Oryzias latipes: one gene and its partner. The protein of the gene in region 2 binds, or shares a complex with, the protein of the main gene of each other region. Links are inferred from orthologs where the notes say so. Each region holds a gene or a part of one and is shown on either strand. Other genes may lie near its edges.

What was found.
Region 1: dis3l (region 2) and exosc10 share a complex: the UniProt entries of both Homo sapiens proteins name them as parts of the RNA exosome complex. The link is inferred for Oryzias latipes from reciprocal best matches to the Homo sapiens genes DIS3L and EXOSC10.

The regions. Positions count from the first base shown.
Region 1 is NC_019865.2:9,473,344-9,477,168, forward strand, and holds part of exosc10 (exosome component 10), read left to right. Parts: intron 1-21; coding exon 22-114; intron 115-195; coding exon 196-264; intron 265-343; coding exon 344-449; intron 450-525; coding exon 526-599; intron 600-3,825. UniProt on the Homo sapiens protein: Catalytic component of the RNA exosome complex which has 3'->5' exoribonuclease activity and participates in a multitude of cellular RNA processing and degradation events.
Region 2 is NC_019861.2:597,761-600,894, reverse strand, and holds the end of dis3l (DIS3-like exonuclease 1), read right to left. Parts: intron 2,237-3,134; coding exon 2,062-2,236; intron 982-2,061; coding exon 652-981; 3' UTR 562-651; downstream 1-561. UniProt on the Homo sapiens protein: Catalytic component of the RNA exosome complex which has 3'->5' exoribonuclease activity and participates in a multitude of cellular RNA processing and degradation events.

The DNA of each region.
Region 1 (3,825 bases), on a different chromosome or scaffold from region 2:
AATCAGTGCTTTGTTTTGAAGGAGCCCGAGGTACACACTGAGCAAAACTCCCTCTCTGTAGCTCAGATGAAGGCCAGACGAATCATTGAGTCTTTTGAAAATCCTTTTAGAATGGTAGGAAATGTCAAGAGCTTAACCTTCACAATTCTTTATTTGTGCTTTGGCAGAATAATAATTTATTGCTTCTTATTCCAGTATTTACCTTCCACCGATGTGCATGTCAACAAGAATGCCAAGTTTGACCCATCCTCCAAAATATTTGAGGTACCTGAAGAGCTTTTTTGTGAAATATATTGACCGCTGTTGTTTTTAATGTGCTTTGCTTACTTTGGCACCCTGACAGATCAGCAAAAGGTGGAAACTGCAGAGCATTGAACAGCAGCAAAAAGAGTTAGAGGCTAAGCAAAAAGCCAAAGAGGAAGCAAAGCAACAGGCAAAGAAAGCCTCAGGTAATTGGCTTTTCTTTTCTACACATTACCTTTTCAAGCATTGTTTCCTCACTTTTTATCTGTTGAATTCTCTCAGAGAAAAGAACGAAGACTAAACAAAGCTACCAGGAGTCTCTTCAGAATGTTGCCACTGTGCGTCAGCAGGCAGCAGTAAGTCTTTTTACATTTCCTCGTTTCTCCGTTCATTTTGTTCTTTTGAACTTCAGACAAGCACCTCAGGTCTGTGTTGGAAGGCATGGCATATTCTTTTAGCTGGATTCACTCAAGGGCCCGCAACAGCGTTGAAAGGACAGTAGGTTTATGACTACTTTAACTCTGTGTGATACTTTATATTTTCCCAAGACAGTGAGTCCCCATCAGATGAACGGGTCTGCAGAAACACAGAATGGGGGCCATGTTAAATATTCTATCCTATAGAGGAGGAAAAATGTACAGCATGTGGGCTGGGTGTTATAAAAGTGTCTCAGATTCATTGGACACATTTTTGTTCCTCTTGAGTAACAAAGCCTCTTTTCTAGGAACTAGCAGCCTCCTGCTGCTAGTTCCATTCCTCAGGGGGTATTACTTGGCTTCCTTTTAGTTAGTTACTCGCACCCCCGCTGTCATATTAAACTTTTCTGATTTCTTTTCTTTCCAGTTTAACACTTCAGTTAAGCCTTTTACCACAGAGCAAAGCTTTTTGTCCAACTGCTACAGATAATCCTGGTGGTCATAAATCAGAAAATTTGGCAGCTGCACTTGAATGTCACAGGTGTTACTGTCCAGACCAGTGTTTTTCAACCAGTGTGCCGTGGGAGATGGTCAGGTGTGCCGTGGGAAACTACCCATTAACTGATCTAAAAACATTTCCCATCTCCAGGATATCAGCTCTGTGTTCATCCAAACAGGCCCTGATAAAACTGAGTAGTTAGGAATGTGAAAGATCGTAAAAGACTTTTACTTTGTGTTTATTTGATTCTTTTAAAGACATTTTGCTAAGAATGACGGTACCGTGATTTAGCCGTAGCTTCAGCTCTGTTTTCGGAAAAGTCCCACCCCTTTAACTGTCTCCACCAATCATTCTTGGAGGCTTAATCATACGTCATCAGTCTGACCAATCAGAAGTGGTTAAAGTCCAGACTTCCTTGTCCCGATTTAGCTCATAAAGTCTCTCAGTTCCAACAAAAATACCAGCTAAAGCTCATCTTAAGCGGTGTAGCTTTCTGCACGATCTGCTGTCAGACCGTGGAGCAAGTGAACAAAACAATGAAGCTCAGAGAGTGTCTGCGATCGGCGTCTGTTTCACACTACACCTCCCATGATGCATTGGGTTAAAGTGACAGCGTCTCAGTGAGTCCTCCCTGTTAAACGTCTTGAAACCACAACGAACCCACATCAAACCGTTTTTAAATCTTCTTGATGAAATCAGAGGTCAACAGTTTAGTTCTCCTTCAAGGTTTGTGTTTATTAACATCCAAACATCCCAGAGTTTGGTCCAAGTCATCTTTCTAACTGAAACACTTTTCTAATGAGGTCTGGATTATTTTATATGTCATTCTTTCTAAATCACTATTTAGAAAGAATATATTTCGTTTTTTGTGGGGTTAATTAAAATTGCATGTCAGTAAACTGAAGGGAAAAACAACTACCAGGGTAAATTTTCAAATAATTTAGTTCAAAATAATTACTGAAAACTAACTTAACTTTTATTACATCTTTTAGAAGAAACAGCTGCAACTTCCAGCTTTTTCTGCCACAATTATCACAACAGTGCATATGAGATTGCAGAGAAACTGTACATCAAACAGACTATAGAGTTTCTCCATTTTTCAATTTTGGATGCTGGTGTGCCGCGGGATTTTTTGTCAAGGATAAAGTGTGCCTTTGCTCGAAAAAGTTGAAAAATACTGGTCCAGACACACACTCACTTCCGTCTGCGGCAGCGTTCAGTAAGGATGCATCGATTCACTTTCCCAAAGGTTCAAACCTCGATTTTTAAATTGCAGTTTTTTTTCGGTGTGATATAAACTAAAACTCAGAAAAAACCTTCGTTTGATTTGCTAATAAGTCACCTGACATGGGTAAAAAAAAATATTTTTTTTCCCACAAAATAATAATTTGTTCCCACACAGTAGGAATTTGTTCCCACAAAATATTTAAATATTTTACTTCAAATCTCGTAATGTTATTTTTTTTGTTTTTGTGACACTAAAACTCTGTTGAAGCCTGAAAGTTTGATGAACACAGAGCTGATGTCATTGCAATAGTGAATGCTTTTTACACTGATTTAGGTGAAATTAGATAACTTCCCATTGCATACATGATGATCTTTCATGGCATACATGTGTACCGCGGCACACTGGCTGAAAAACACTCATCTAGGAAACCAAAGAAGGGCCATAGCCGATGACGTATGTGATGGACGCCAGCAGAAGACGGGACCAATTTTATTTAGTGCTTTCAAGAATACCTGTGTCCTAAAAGAGAAAGAAGTGTAGATGATTTAGTTAAAAAAACAAGCCAAAATAAGAACAGAATGGAAGGTTGACCAACATTATGAAAAAACATGGATGCAGCCGACTCGGCTGTACAGATTGTCTGAATCACCGGCTCCCTTGTCAAGGCTACCTAATTAAAACTACCCAAAAGAACCAATAAAGCTTGTAAATTATAACAACCAGGGTACATACAGTGTGCCACCTGTCAGCCACTTGCAAATATTGGCTGTTAGCACACTAGTACTTTCAGCTAGCACCTCTTTGCCGTTCGGCTCTCATGGCTGGTTTTTCAAAAACACAGATTCACTAATAGCTCAGAAATCTGTTCACAGGCAGCACTTGTTTTGTTGTCCTTGTTGTTGGTTTTGCCACCTGTTACATGAAGGCAAACCTCAAAGGTGAGATGTAGCTCACAAAGCTTCCGAATTAGATTAGGAAGAGAATAACAGCCTGATTTTTTTTTTCCAAAACGTTTTATTCACAGTGACTGTTCTGAGTGTTTTACAGATGCACAAACGAAAATATTTTTTAAAAAATTAACCCATTACGATGAAACAAACTTGGCTAAGCAGCATTTAACAAATAAAAAAAACAAAAAAAATCAGAAAACCCGAATTCCCACCTGAAATTTGTGGTCTGGAAGAGTTTTCTAACATTTTAAATGTTTCTCTATGGTCCACTTGTGTTTTCATTTTTAGATTGTTTCTTGATTTCAACCAGAAATCCCAAACCTACAAAGTATTAAAGCATGAAAAACCACTACACTGATGTGTGTGTTTTCTCCATGAAGCAGATAAAAGATCTACAAAATGTATACATTTTATTGCATCACCCTTGAGCTTGTGTTTATCAGGCTTTGATTACGGTAATGCAGGAGCACAAGACACATTTGTAGGTTA
Region 2 (3,134 bases):
GTCATCTAGACCCACTAGACAGTTGGGTCATCTAGACCCACTAGACAGTGCTCTGAACCTTTTTTCTTCAATGATTTGTGATCTTCACTGGTGTCCATGGATTACATAAAATCTTTCCACCTTTATCCACCTTTGTCATAGTAGGGAGAACACCTCAATGGAAGGGAGGGGGGGGTCATCTGGACCCCATGGGATAGCACAAGGGTTAAAAAGTTACCGGTACGAAGCCCTTGGAGGCGACTAATGTTAATATTGGGCCATAGAAATCAAACTGAATTGACAGAAGGTCCTAGTTTGAATCCCGGGTGGGTTCTGTGATGGGCCCGTTCTGGCTGAAGCCCATTCTCCTCCTGTAGCTGGTTCCAAGACCAAGGCTGCTAGAAGATGGAAGGACCCGGAGCCCCCCCCAACGTGGTTGTGTCTGGTTGCTGCTGCAGAAACCATCAGCACACGTCAACCAGTAAAAGCTTCTCCAGGCTCTTATGTGTGAGGATGACATGGATCCAGGCCGGCGGGGAGAACTTCTGTCGGTCCCAAAAGAGGTTCTGAAAAAGTCTGACGTCAGATAAAAACACGTTTATTCTAAATCCAGTTTTAATGCTTTTACATGTCTCATCATAAAAATCCGTTAAAAACCGGTTGTCTGTGACGTCATGGTAACGGGTCAGGGACCGTCAGAACCGTCTGCTCAGAGGCTTGGGACAGAGCGTCCAGGTCCATCAGGGCCAGCTCACGAATCTCCTCCAGGATGGAGTACAGGTTTGGAGTTCTGCTCTGCAGGAAGTCCCGCTCCTGCCGGGACAGTTTGTGCGTGGGCGCCGCCGTCTGCTGGGCGCTCTCAGCCAGCCGGACCACCTCCTGGACCAGCTGCCGGTGGCCCTGCGAGGCCGGGGGCCCGGAGCCGCGGTGGGGCTGATTGCTGATGACCTCCAGGACCAGAGTGTCGGAGTGGCAGCTGGAGGACCGGACCGAAATACGGACCTGCAGGGAAAGGAGATGCGTTTCCATGGTTACAGGGGCTTCATCAGCTGCTGAGCAGCAGTCAACTCATTTAAAACTCTAGTGACCTTTTGACCTTTGGAGTCTACCTCTGTTTTAGTCGACTAAAAATGGGGCTCTTCTAAAAGTTGTAGAGAGCCACCAGCTGACCCAGAACAACCATGTTCCACCAGCTGGAGCGGGAGCCTGGAGGGCCCCTTGAGGGCCCCCGGCCTCCCGCTTCAGCCCTACCTGCTGCTGGGACCTGGGTCAGGTGTGTTTGTCCGTGAGCAGCTATGACTGCAGGTCGGTAGGAGGACATGTTGACCTTCAAGCTCAGGTCCAAGTCTCCAAAGGAGCGTCTGCTTCCCTCAGCGGCTCTTCCCATTGGCTGACGGCTGGTTTCACTGCCGGCTCCAAACACACGACGTCAATCCAGTCGCCAGTTTTCCACCATGATGGAGCCAGACTTCATCAGTGAGCAGTGATTGGTCCGAGCCAGTCTGAGTCATTGTTTCTATGGCAACCACTCTCACCAGTCAGGACTGAGCTTGTTGGAAGGCCACGCCCCTACCACTCGAAAGGGGGGCTACATGAAATCTGTCCAATGCTTTGATTGTTGGATGTGGGGGCCGGCAAGCTCCACCTACTTTTATGGAGGCGTCCGATTGGTCAGTTTATAACTTCAATAATTTAGACTACATGAAAATATGAAAAACGAGGATTATCCAGATGTGAGAAAAGATCCGATCCAGAACGGTTCTGCTGACCAACAGAATAACAGCTGCTTGTTTCTCTGTAGAAACTTGGAACCACTTCCTGTTTGGAGGAGAGGCCACTCAGTCCAGTCCTCATATACGGTCTGTGGCTGTTCCTAGCAATGACAAAAGTACTGTGTGTGTGTGTGTGTGTGGGGGGGGTGTTAAACTAGGGCTTGACCCCCAGGCTCCTCTTCATGGAGCAGACTTGCTGCTTCGGGTCAGCAGCCAGTGTTTGGGTCTTTTTAGACCCAAACACTGGGTGGAGGTTCTGAGTGCGGTTTCTTCTCTGCCGTCACAGGCACGGTGGGTGACCCTCACTCACAGTGATGTGGCTCATTAGCCTGAAGGTGGCGCTGCATCCGCCCGCCGTGGTGGTGGTGATGTAGCTGGGGTACCGCCGCACTTTGCCGCCCTGCCACTTACAGCTGCCGCCCGCTTCTGCCGACACCACCTGGCCCTCTTTGTTCCTCAGGTACACGGGACCCTTGATGCCGTACCTGAGGACAGACGGGGGGGGGGGTTATCCGCCTGTGGTATTCAGAGGTAACTTAATCTGCCTCCAGTATGAAAGCAGCTTTAGATTACAACCTTTAATAAAGTGTTTTCAAACTTCACCCAATAAACAATTAAACAGCCACAGAGTCATGACGCTGTCATGACATCATCACTGGGCCTTCGGTCACATGCTCCTGCATGGGGGGGTTGACCCGTGTGGGTGACGCTGTCATGACATCATCACTGAGCCTTCGGTCACATGCTCCTGCATGGGGGGGTTGACCCGTGTGGTAACCTTAAGTCCGATTACAGGACATATCAATGGTCCGTACACAGCATTTATACATGTAAATGCTCGTGATGTGCAAGTGCTTGTAGGACAAAGGTCCCCAAATCCAGGCCTGGGGGGCCGGTGTCCTACTTGTTTTCCAGCCAACCTGCCACTGTAGCTCCTTATTGGCTAAACACACCTGATCCAGGTAATCAGCAGCAGATCAGGCAGGGATTCTGGAAAACCAGCAGGACAACGGCCCCCCAGGCCTGGATTTGGACACCCCTGCTGTAGGACGTCCACACAGAAACTAAACTCTGATTGTCTAATTTCCTCATTTCTAACATTTCTTCCTGTTCCTGACTGTAGGCCTCCTCTCTGCTGTCTCCTACACCTGCCGGTGGATCCTGCCTCTGACCCCCATAAAATGGAAGGGAATTGACAGTCAGGCGTTTCCTGTTTCGTTTGGGTCACCTGTGCGCCCCCTACAGGTGTGCCCTCCTCTGGACAGCTGGGACTAAAGCTTGAAGCATGTTTTACTGCACCTGACTGTAAATTTTCTTTCATTTCCACATATTTGATCATTCTTTCCATAAGCAAACATGTTTGTGAGGAAGCACAGCATCTAT